2 linked regions of the Oryzias latipes genome follow. The main gene of each other region encodes a partner of the protein of the gene in region 2 in a complex. Links are inferred from orthologs where the notes say so. Each region holds a gene or a part of one and is shown on either strand. Other genes may lie near its edges. The genes, in order: tomm5 and pink1.

The links.
Region 1: the proteins of pink1 (region 2) and tomm5 are in contact, whole or in part, in a cryo-EM structure (PDB 9EII), measured with the Homo sapiens proteins. The link is inferred for Oryzias latipes from reciprocal best matches to the Homo sapiens genes PINK1 and TOMM5. Residues at the interface, in NP_115785.1 of Homo sapiens: Gln484, Ala488, Gln491, Ser495, Lys496, Pro498, Val502, Lys520, Leu522, Lys523, Leu524, Met527, Glu565, Cys568, Gln569, Ala571, Leu572, Leu573, Cys575, Ser576, Trp577, Ala579, Ala580; in NP_001001790.1 of Homo sapiens: Met1, Phe2, Arg3, Ile4, Gly6, Leu7, Ala8, Lys10, Leu11, Asp12, Pro13, Glu14, Met16, Lys17, Arg18.

What each region holds. Positions count from the first base shown.
Region 1 is NC_019868.2:15,855,758-15,861,605, reverse strand, and holds tomm5 (mitochondrial import receptor subunit TOM5 homolog), read right to left. Parts: upstream 2,825-5,848; 5' UTR 2,718-2,824; coding exon 2,597-2,717; intron 2,043-2,596; coding exon 2,008-2,042; 3' UTR 1,735-2,007; downstream 1-1,734. Other genes in the region: zinc finger and BTB domain-containing protein 5, read right to left, coding at 1-418.
Region 2 is NC_019865.2:23,688,369-23,694,931, reverse strand, and holds the start of pink1 (serine/threonine-protein kinase PINK1, mitochondrial), read right to left. Parts: upstream 4,470-6,563; 5' UTR 4,358-4,469; coding exon 4,001-4,357; intron 2,153-4,000; coding exon 1,871-2,152; intron 1,787-1,870; coding exon 1,683-1,786; intron 1-1,682. UniProt on the Homo sapiens protein: Serine/threonine-protein kinase which acts as a sensor of mitochondrial damage and protects against mitochondrial dysfunction during cellular stress.

The sequences.
Region 1 (5,848 bases), on a different chromosome or scaffold from region 2:
CTGATGTTGGGAAGTTTTTCCTGGAAAGGTGGAGCTTGCAGGCTTTGACCACAGTGTTGAGATGCAAGTGTGACGCGGCCAGCAAAACATCCATGGCGCTGGAGGCTTCTAGAGAAAGAGTTGAGGTGTAAATCATGTCCAGGAGGATTGAAAAGGCCTCGGGGGTCACAACCTCTGGGTCCAGCGCCATCACACAGGGATCTCTGTTTCCAGCAGATGTGTCTGCTTCTGATCCTCCGTCGGCACTGTCACAGGAACTGATGAGAGCCCTGAAGTGAGAGCTGCAGGCAGCCAGGATAGAGCGGTGAGCTCGAAAGGTCTGATCTCCGACCACCACAATACAGTCACAGAGCTGAGCGTGGAGGCGCTGGTGGTTGAGCTGACTGAAAATATGCTGGAAATGACCTGGGAAGTCCATCTCTGCTGCTGCAGTGTCAGTTCTTGGACAGTCACCACTTTACTGTGGAAAAAAATATATGAAGGAGGTAAACAGTCCTACAAGTCCTACAATGCATCAGCTGAAACGTAGATCACGGCTCAGAGTAGCATCGTCTGCGATGGCTGCCCTGGAGATGCTGTGGAAAATGGGCGGGCAGAAAAGCACCGAGGGATGCGGAGGAGACGCGAGAATAGTCTCCAAAAAGTAAAACATGAGTCCACGCAGCGGATAGGGAAGCCTAAACTATAGTATACATTAAAAACCGATCTATCGTAATTATAAAGCCAGATGGTTCAAACAACCGAGCGATGCAGCATCCATTGTTACGGATGCCGCTGCCTAATCGACGCTTTGGTTAAACAACACTGCCCCCTAGTGGCTATAACAGTAATTACTTGGCAATTACTTACTGAATATAGAACAATTAATTTGGTGATTCTTTTTGTTATAAGACCAGCTGGAGGGGGAAAGAAAAGCTAGAAATAAAAATAATACACAATTCTTTGGTAAAGCTCAACTAATGCAAAGATAAAGAAAAACCTGTTTTTAAAAATTCTCTTGTTTGAAATTGAATAGAAACATATATTGTATTGTCTTAATTCTAACTCCTCTGCAGGCTTTTGCTTCTTCATTTAAATGCAGACACAGCCCTTTTTTTCCCCCAAAGTTGTTTCGCTGTGGCGACCCCTTATGGGATGTGCCGAAGAGGGGAACAACTTTCTGGCAACAACCCTCGTAAACTCCTGGATTAACACCCTGTGCTGGCACATACCTATGTACTGTATATGTTTATATTAACATATTTGTTCTTTTAAACTTCAATACTTTTTTAACCTCCTTGTTAAACGGCTTTAATTTTTCTTTTTCTTTATCTGCAATATACAGTTTTGTTTAATCACTGTAAGCACATAACTGACATTTTTAAATTGTGTACATACTGTCTTTTCTTGATATTGTGACTGCTTTCAATCTCATTGTACAAGTAAACAATGACAAAGGCATGTCTATCCATATAGAGAAAAACAAAATATTTTATTTCGTCCACACCTTTAAATAATAAAAAATCTAATAATTGAATGACAACATAGTGGTCTAATAAAATTGTTTTAGGGAAGCTTTTTAAAGCCAGAAACACCTGGAATAAGAAACTTCTGGCTCTAAAATTAAACAACTGAGAAAAACAAGGAATTTAAAATGCTTGTTAAATTACGCCTGCTTACACTATCGCAAAACGAAATAACAAAAACAAAAGAATAAAAAAAAAACAAATAAAGAAAATAAAAAAGATGCTCAAATAAATTACCATTGTTTCCATTTATTGAGCGGTACAACTAAAAGACATTTCTTTGAACAGAACTCTCCACTTAACAAACAGTAAGTGTTAAATATAAAGGCTGACAGACATTTAAAACATTTAACAAAACTAAAAAAAAAAAAAAGATCTTTGAAGCAGTGATGGAAGAACAAGAGATGCTTCAATGGCCCACATCTGCTGCAGGTCCTCGCCGTCTCTGATGCTGGAATCTCTTGATTGATGGTGGTAAATCCAGCTGGACTTCGGCCTCTTCTCATATGCTGTCCAGCTTCTTTAGCACATATGGGGCTGCAGACAGAAAAAAAAACACATAAAGATGTTGAGATGTTGCACAACATGGCAATAGAGTTTGGATAAAAAACTTGAACTCTGGCTGAGTTTGTGGAGTGAATTTATTGTTTTTTAGCATTTAATTTTTACAAACAGGTCTTCCTAAAATCTCTGCAATTACAACAGAACTTTTTTTAATTATAAAATCTTAAACAGCTTGACATTGAACCGTTATTATTTTAATGATAAACTAGGCTAATCTTTATTTTCAATAATTACGATTCATAAAAGCAAATGTGCATTTAAAAAATATCACCTTTAATAGAAAATTAGACTAATTTTAATCAAATTTGAATGCATAATTTTCTAATTTAACATAAGAAATCAACAAATCACTCAAGAGGAGAACTTAACTGTTTTATCCCTGTTTTGTTTTAGTGTTTAAAATCAGCTTGTGCTTCCAGTGTGAACAGACTAATAATCGATCACGGAGATAGAACGATGCTATGACAACAAATAAAGGAGGAAACACGTGTAGAAGTCAGTACAGATTGTGACCTGCGGACGCTTACCGGCTCTGAGCAGAGCGACGTAAAGAAGAAAGTTCCGTACAGAGGAAATGACGTCTTCTCGCATTTTCTTTTTCATCTCCTCTGGGTCCATTTTCGGACCGAGTCCTTCAAGTTTAAACATTTCAGCTTTGGTTAAAAACCTTTTTGGGGTCAAATTTCTTCCGTCGATAGCTTTGCGACGACGGGGTGGACGAAGTCTGGCAGGAAATACGTCACAGCTGACGTAGAATGGCAGCCTCGGAGGGTCAAACCGCACTCGCCAAGGTGATCGCTGTTTTTGTTTTAGCGATCTTTTTTTCTTTCTAAATTTTGGATTTATTTAAATTTCCTCAGTAGTTTATCCTTCAGGTATCATTTTTTGTTGTGATATTAAAATGTGTTTAGATTTAAAAACAGTGTTCTTTCTATTGAGTTGAATGTTTATCTTAGGTTAAAAATAACATTTCTTAAATATAAACATTTATTTGAGCCAAATGAATGGGGGCATTTTCCTCCCTCTTACTGTTTTTTACGTTTTACGTACTTTATTTATGTCGATGGTATTGCCCCCGTTTTTTTCAAACACTAATAAAATAAAATAAAATGAATAATTTAACATTTTACATCTAGAAATTCGTAATAAAATTATTCAGATGATTTGGGTGCATTTTAGTGGACGTGACACACAAAGTGGGACTTTTGGGTGTTGCTTTATTTGGCTAAACTAGATTTCTGGATAATTATTTCTGGGGGGAAAAATTTGTTTTTTTTATCAAGAAGTTCCAGAAATTTAATTTCATACTGTTTATTATCGACACGTAATTTTTATCGATGGAAATATCAACTGTTTATTAGAAAGATAATTGGTCTCACTGTGTCTTATTTTATTTTATTTTTTTTACTCCAAATCTTCTTTTTAGTTCTATATTATTTAATTAAAACTACTTTAAAAGCTTTAACGACCTTTAGGAGGAGAGGAGGAGGGGTGTTCAGCAGTCAGCGATGGAGGTTGGGAGGAGAGAGGGAGCCCAGAGTAGGAGGAGGAGGGGGAGGAGGGGTGGGTTGTTCCTGAGCTCAGGGCCGCGGATTAGAGCAGAGAGCAGCCCCGATGACAGCATCCAGCACGCAGCCAGGGCCACCACCATCATCTGGCCGGGGCGGATATTTTGGAGGCATCAATCGATCTCGATTTTTCCCGTGATCTCCCAGACAGACGCGCGCTGCGTCTGTCTGTCTCCTCATCAAACCACGAGGTGAGCCCCACTCGGTTATTGTCTGATGAGCGCGTGTCCACCCTGCGTCCGTCCAGCTCTGCTTTTGTGGTGTGTGTGTGTGGGGGGGGGGGGGGGGGGGGGGGGATAATTTCCTTCGTATCGAAATGAGAGATTGAGTTGACGATCAACTCCACCCTGACTGAAGGCGGGTGAGGGTGCGAGGGAGATGGTGGTAAGATTTAAATCCGATTAAGATTAGAAAGAAAGCTACAACAGACTGACCACTTATTCGTCTTTGTTTGGCCTCCTATAGGGCATGGCTGTGACCACTGATCGGAATGATTATACTGTAAAAATATGTGGAGACAGATCATCTTAATAAAACATCAAGGAGTAGAAGATCCATGATCTCCGCGTTACCGCGTTATAGCGCCTTATAGCCTAAATACAGCTGCGATTTCAATCCGACCACTCTACTATATTGAAATCTCCATATTTGCCAACACATGTCTGGAGCAGCAGGGTTGGAAATCTGCGCTTTCGTCTGCGCAGTGGAGTCACCGTCACTGATCGCGGATTGGATAAATACGCACGGATATGGGGATGCCAGTACGCTGGGTACCACACACGCACATCTTTTTTTTTTACTTTGTCTTTCCTGTGTCTTTTATTTATTTATTTAACCCTCTGTGCTGCGCTTTCTCCGTGCCGTGCGGGGCATGTCAAACGCAGCACCAGACAACTAGACCGGAACAATGCGTTTTTGTTGTTCTGGGGCCTTCGTTTAATGCATGACGTGACACAATCTGACCGCTCATCGCGCTTCAGACTTCTGTGATCCCACGCAGCTCTGCGACCGAGTCTGCGGTATTTAACGGCATCATATGCTGCGCGCTTTGAGCTCCATCTGCCATTTAGGTGTTGTCTGTGCGCGCGCGTGTTTGTGAGAGCTGTCCTATGCTGCGGGCATTTGTGTTGTGACTCAGGAATGTGCGCTCCATCCATGTGATGCGACTTGCTCTGAGGTCACTCCGCCAGAGGAAAATCACAACGGGCAGAACTCGCACATCAGGACAGACTTGATGCTTGCATGACAGCATTAGCCTGGATCTACTCTGCCGGCTGCTCTTCTGCCCCACTTTCTCCAGCCAGCCAGTCAGCCAGTCCTCCTCTCTCTCTCTCTCTCTCTCTCTCTCTCTCTCTCTCTCTCCTCTCTCTCTCTCTCTCTCTCTCTCTCTCTCTCTCTCTCTCTCTCTCTCCTCTCTCTCTCTCTCTCTCTCTCTCTCTCTCTCTCTCTCTCTCTCTCTCTCTCTCTCTCTCTCTCTCTCTCTCTCTCTCTCTCTCCCCATCTTCACGCTCAGCTTCATGTCTCCAAACTGTGATGTCTGTGATGGCGGGCCCTCCAGCCTCGTATTGAGAGGCAGATTAACACATCTCATCACATTTCCTCTCATTGATGAAAATGAAAGTGATTCATTGATCAAACCCAATTCAGTAAATTGATTAGCAACAGTTGTTTTTGGTTTCCGTGGAAACAAATTTCCCCTCTGAAAGTACACCAGTATTGTTCATGAAAGGAATAAAAAGGAGACCTGACCTCATTGATGTGACAGCCCCATGATGATTGCACAGCTGACTGGCAGGGGTGCCACAATGTAGGGCAGCTCTCTTAATGTGACTGTATAGCGTAAACATCTTTAGAGGGAAGAGCTTCAGCTTGAAAACATCATAAAGCTTGTGAAAAAATGTCATTTATTTCCCTTCTTCTGCACATTTTTTTTAAATATTAAAGTCGCACCCCACTACCTATTGATCTATTGTAAAAGCATTCCTAGTGGTCTTTTTTATCATGATTATGTCATTTTTAGGCAAAAAAAAAAAACTTGTCGTTTTTAAGACAGTTTTTGAAGAGCAGCAGTAGTTTGTTAGAAATTCGCCTCTGAGTTGTGGCTCTGACCATTGGTCCAGAGTAAGCCTACCCTTACTTCCCATCATCCATTTGTTCACAACCCTCTTACAACCCTCACAACCCCAACCTGATCTAACAAAAATAGTGAGT
Region 2 (6,563 bases):
TCATACTGAGCCGCTGCATCCTCTGCAGCGTTTTTTCCTTCTGAAGCCCGCGGTGCAGCTGCAGGTGTGTTTGTTCGGGAGAGGAACATAGTGATAGGCAGTTGTTGTCGCTCTTTTTTCTTCTTTGCTAAAGATCCTTATACACCGACATGCCACCATCGATTATGTTGGAGAACTGTAATGAACGGCTCATCAAAGGGTCCCATTCTTGAGCTACTCGCTGAGTGACTTTTTAGCCAATCAGAATGCAGAACACAATGCACAATCCAAATCCGTGAAGTAGCGAAACCGTGAAAAGTAAACCGTGATATAGCAAGGGATCACTGTACATCACTAGAGTCCCTGATTGGTCAAAGCTCGACCTGGTTTCACTTTCAACGCGCGTTCAGTGGCTGCACGTTTTGTACACAGAACCTGGTGTACAAACCATTGGCCCCACCATTGGTTCTGGTGCAACTCTCTGGTCTTTCTGCAATACTGGGCTTCTCGTCTACCAATCTGGTGTGGTAAAGTGAGCGCCAGGCCTCCACCCATGTATGGTGAGAGCAATGGATAATCCATTAGATCAGGGGTTCTCAACGTTTTTGTAGCAGAGGGCCAAATTATGAACTCGACATTACACTGGGGGCCAATTTTGGTGAAAAAAAAAAAAGTTGTTTTTAATAACTTTAATGACCAAATGCCATTAACCAGGCCCTCCAGATGTTTTCCCAGTTGCGGTCGGAGGTTGCTGCCCAGATCTTCTACTCGTCTGTTAATAGTTTCATTTGACAGACTTTCTTTTGATCTGGACATACAATGTCAGCTACTTCCAGCATACATTGTTTTTACAAACTCCCAGTCAATGAAGGGCTTGCTTTGCTGGACCAAATTTCCAATTTCCAAAGCCACAATGTAGCTAGCTTCTGTCACAGCTTCACTGGATGTAGCCATTTTTGTAAACATCTGCTGTACAGCATAGCCTCGTTGTAGTTGTTGGAGATTATAGTTGCACTCCTTGCCGGTTGTCATAGTTTTTATGATTTGTGACATAGTGATGATTTTTTTGCTTGCAAATAAGGCACATGACTTTATCCAGCCCATGAGGTACGACAAAGTAAGCATTTGTCCACTTAGCTTGAAAGCGCCTTTTCTCCTCGCCAACACGTTTTTCCTCAAAGGAACCTACTCTGGCTCTCTTTTATCGAGGGCCACAAAAAAATCTTCCCGCGGGCCACCATTGGCCCCCGGGTCGCACTTTGAGAACCTCTGGACTAGATAATTCTTCTACATGCTCTTAAAATTCTAGAATGATTTTTGTGTTGCGATGGGATTTTGCTTGTTCTTTTACGGTATATATTCAAATCCCTTGTTCTCCACAAGGCAGTATGGCCTCATATCTGCCACTATACACTCTGATGGATTTTGTCATCTTTTTAAATTGCTGTGATGCAACCCTTTACGTTCATAATACGTTACATATCTATGCAAAGCCGCTAAGAAAAGCCGCTTATCTCCACGTCAGAATCAGCTGATACAAGTTGGTCACGTAAATGGTGGAAGAGTTACGGTACCTCAAGTGTGTTATTCAAGTGTCATGCTAACCGATCATCCTCCTCCCGAATAAAACACACCCAACTGTGGCTAGTGATCAGGTTCAGTAATGATTCGTTGCAGCCCTTTGACTTCGTTAACATATTTACCCGTCTAAAGTAAGTTGCTGTTTTGCTGGCGCCAGAGCGAGGGGGTCTGTGGGAACCAGCTCATGGGACATCGATCTAAAGATCGCCTCGTTTGATGACCCTGCCTGCAAACACATAGAATCACAACACCGGTCAGAAAGCGACCTTTCTTCCCCTCCCCACATACATGGGTGCTGGCCATGACCCACCCCAAAGTTCCACAGCATCTTGATTGCCAGCGGGAAGTTCCTTAGAGAGCAGCAACTCAGAGATGGCATGACGCGATTTCCTTCCTCGCCCTCACTGTCTCGTATCTGCACCGCGGCGGGCTCACCATCGCTTTTCTTGGAGCAGAAAAACTGAGGTGCAGCTTCATACACAGCTGCGTTGGATCCTTTCCCAATCTGGTTTCCTACAATGTAATCCTCCAGTTTGTATCCATAGGCCAAGGGCTTGAGCGGGCTCTGGAACTTCTTCTTTCTGAACACCGCCTGCAGTTCAGGAGAAATTAGATTCAGGTTTCATTAAAGCAGAGTTCAAAGTCTTTACTTTGGTATGTAAATGAAGTGTCCTTTTGAAATCTACAATTATACACTTAACTTTTAACACTAAAACAGCCTTGTAGAAGCCGATGCTCTGAGATTTAAGAAGCTTGACAAACTACCAGCGTGGTATCATTGATTAAAATTGTCTCATGAATTCATACAAACCTAATAGCATCAAACCAGTTATTTTTGCTAAAACTACTGCTAATGGGTTTACATTTACTCTACTTTCCTTCAGGCTAACTTCCTTGTTTTTGTTTTGTTACTTTCATATTATTGACCTCTTTTTGATGGACATGGATATTTTTTCACATAATCAGTGTGATGGCATGCATGTCACCCCTTTTTGGGCTAATTTCCACCCCTTCTGGGTCTCAAGCGGGCTGCAGGTGCATCATTTACAGCAGAGGGGGGGGTGGGGGGGTGGGGTGTCAGACTCCAGGCCTCGAGGGCCGGCCTCCTGCTGGTTTCCCAAAAATCCTGCCTTATCTGCTGCTGCTGCTGATGACTTGTGGATCAGGTGTGTTTAGCCAATAAGGAGCTTCAATGGCAGGTTGCTTGAAAAACATGTTGGACCCTCACGGCCTGGATTCTGACACCGCTGATTTACACAATCAGTTGTTGTTGCTTGGCAACAACAAAATGCTGCTAGAGAAGCGACCAGAGGGCAGGAGAGGCTAAGGAGACTGAGGTCCTTCAGAAATTGCAGGACTCTTGTAGAGATTTCATGATGGCACTGACAGGAACAGTGTGAAGATCCAGCTCCATTCTGGACATTCCTCTTCATCATCAGGATTTACTGCAATCGGTGCACTGAGGAGCTCCTTCAGTCAGAGACTTGAACACTTAGCTACAGGAATGAGAGCTTTTGCAGATCGTTCCTCCTGTCAGATATTAGACTCTAACACCTGACACTGGTCAATAGTTATTGTTATTCATTTTTCTAGTGTTTTATTTTTTTTTTGTTATTTATTTGCCGTTGTCAAAAGAGGTTGTAACAAGTGATTGATAAAGTTATATTCTATTCTAAAGTTTAAGTTTGTGTTGTTGTCAGTTGCAGCATAACTTAGTTTGTCACTTCCAGGGATGAGCTTGTACTGTCGGTTCATTTCACATTGACATGTATCAGGAGCAGACGAAACAATGCCGTTTGAAAAAATATCGTATTTGTGATGTAAAAAACATGCTGGGCAGGTCACAAGCTGCCTGCTCTGCTCCATTCCAAAGCAACAACTTGCAGACAAAGATCCGTGTTCGTTTACCTCTGGATAGCTCCAATATTGCTCACCATTTCTGCTAGGGATGAGGGTGTGGGGGCTGTAAGCTAGCGGGAGAGCATGTAAACAGAGAGCTCTCTGCAATTGGGAGAGGAAAGGGGGCGGGGTTGCTCCGTGGCAACAGTCCCGCCCACAACTCAGGGGTGAATTTCTAATAAACTACTGCAGACACTACGTCCAAGAAAACAAACGTTTTTTAAATGGAATAATCCTAATGAAAAGACCACTGGAAACGCTTTTAAAATAGATAAAAAATGATTAATTAATACATATTTTACTATAATAAATACTAACCTCATTGGACCCAATAAATGAAAGAATTAAACTTGTCAATTTATTTTATTTGAACAACAGATTTACACAGCTATGTTCTAAATTTTGTTTTTTCTATAAAATTACAGTAAAATCGATGATTTTTTTAAGTAAGTTTTAACATAAAACAGTCGCTATAAAAAACGCAAATATAAAATGTCAGATCTACTGAGGCTCAGACTGAAATGACAGCAGGAATTCATACCTTTATCTCATTGCACGTTGCCAAACTCAGCCTGTCGTCCTCAATCTGCTTCTCGATTAATCCCACACCGAGGCCAAACGCCAGAAAGACGGCTCTGTTCCGCGGTGAACCTCCGGCAAACCTCCTAACGAAGCCAGCCCACTGGAGCTGAGCTGCCAGACCCCTCAGTGAGGTGCGGTAATACCGGTATCGGAGAGGCAGGAAAGCCTGAGGCTGAGCGGTCCGGAAGGCCGGGCCCGCACGAACTCGGTCAGCTCGGAGCTTCGCTGCGACCCGACTACCTGCTTTCAGGACCCCCAGCTGAAAAATCGACCGGCCCAACTCCAGCCCTCGGCTAATAGCGTGTTTAACAGACATTGTGAGCCCAGAAGGGTTTTTAGAAACGTTTTAAAGCCCCGGGAATGCAGGTCAGCCTCAAACAGCTGCCGCGAGGAGCAAAGTTAAACAAAACAAATGCTACTGAGCATGCGCAAAGGACCTATGGTCATTGGTTTAGATAAAATACATTCATGGCCCCCTTCAACGAGTGGGAACCACAATACTGTATATTTCAGGCCTCAGCACCTTAGCGCATTTATTTTGTGTTGTGCAGTTAAAATTATCGTCTATATTTTTAATTAACGGTAATTGTTGTAACAAACTGAGTTAGAGCTGTTTGGATCCCAGCATCATTGTTTTTTTTTTCTAGTTACGGATATACTTTGAATGCATCATATTCATCCCCTTGACCCATCCTGAGAAACAGGCAGGATTGGCAGAATGATTTTAAAGGGGCGGGGAAAATACCAGTGCATTTTAAGGAAAGTTAATTATTTTCTTTGGATATTAATTTTAATTTTCTTCTTTTGTCTTTATAATGATAAGTAGTTTATTTGTGACATAAAAACTGTATTATTGAAGCAGGACCATAGACGCAGGGTAGGACTTGGAGGTTCCTGCTGAGCTTTGGTCAGAATTTGCACTGGAAGGTTAAAGGAATGATGTGACAGAAATAAAAGTTATTTTTAACACAGTATATGATGACAAATGCATAAATACATCTAAATCAGCTAACAACATTAGCTTGATTAACACATTTTTTTTATTTGTAATTATTCTTTCCCTCAATGTTAGAACTTTGTTTTCTCTGGGGGTTTCCAGACTATGTCCCTAAGTCTCTAAGATATGGAAGTTTTGTTTCACCTATAACTCAAAGTAATATTCAATTCTGAATTGACCATATCCCTGTTTAGTCCCAGTTTAAAATGCATTTTGCGATTTAGAATTCATAATGATAAAATAATAAAAAAGCATAATTAATTAAAAGTTGCAAAATGCATTTTATTTGAATTGTAGTATCAAAAAACCGTGACAGTTAATTTTAATTATTGTTCATTTTGAATTCTAAATCACAAAATGCATTGAAATGCCAATTGCAAAATGTGTGATCAAATGGAAAATTGAATTGCCTATTGAGAATTGCATGTCACTTTGAATTATGAGTGAAAAAACTTTTACAGGTACAGTTGCAGGTACCATATCAAGGTCATATTAATTTTTGTGTTAATGGAAATGCACACATAGGTTATTAAAAATCAAAATCAGTCCTATTACTCCTTCTATTGTTATTTTCACCATGAAATTGTTACGTCTGTGCTTATTCAAAATCCCTACAATAACATCAATTCTTACATTTATGACCATGATCCTTGTTATAAATATGAACAATACTAACATCACTGTTCCTTAATTCATTCATATATTTAAATTAAATTATTAATCGATATTATGCTTCTGCAATTTGGCTTTGGTTTGTTTTTCCTTTTTTCTTTTAAGGAGATTTTTTGATGCTTGGGTTTTGTTTTTCAGTATCTCATGGCCAAACAAGCCTCTGTGCATTTTCAGTGTATATTATGGGTAAAAAATCTTGCCCTCAAAGATTACAGAGAAAAAAGAATGTTCTTGAGCCTTGCTGACTAGCGACTGGTCCAGGATGCACCACGCCTTTGTTCAACATGAGTCGGAACGTTCCAGCAACCCCAAAAGGGATTCAGCAGTTTAAGAATATAGATGACGGAAAGAAATTTCCTGGACCAAAAAAAAAGATATTCATCACATAAAGCAATCTCATTAACGTTTAATTATTTATGCAACCTATCTAACAAAGGTTTTGGAAGCAGATATTTGATTTTTTATAACACTTACAGGTCAGAAATGTCTGGCATCTTTAAATATTTCCTAAAGGAGCAGTCTAAAATGTGTTTTATGGTGAGTAATTTTGGTTATGAATTATTATAGGTTCAGGTAGTCACCAACCATGCTGGGTCTTCTGTATTTCCTAAAACATATTTCAGAGGCAGAGATCTTCTTTAATTTTTTATTATTTTTTATGATGAGGAATAAAATAAAATGCTTGAAGAAAATGGAAACACTTTGAAAAATAAAACAAACAGCTCATCTTTGTTGTCATCAGATGCTTTATTCTGGATTGTCTTTTAGATGTAATAGCACTAGAAAGGTTTAAATGTCAATTCTTTGTCCCAATGTGTTTCTGTGCAAAGTTGCAAAATCAAGAGCTTCTGTG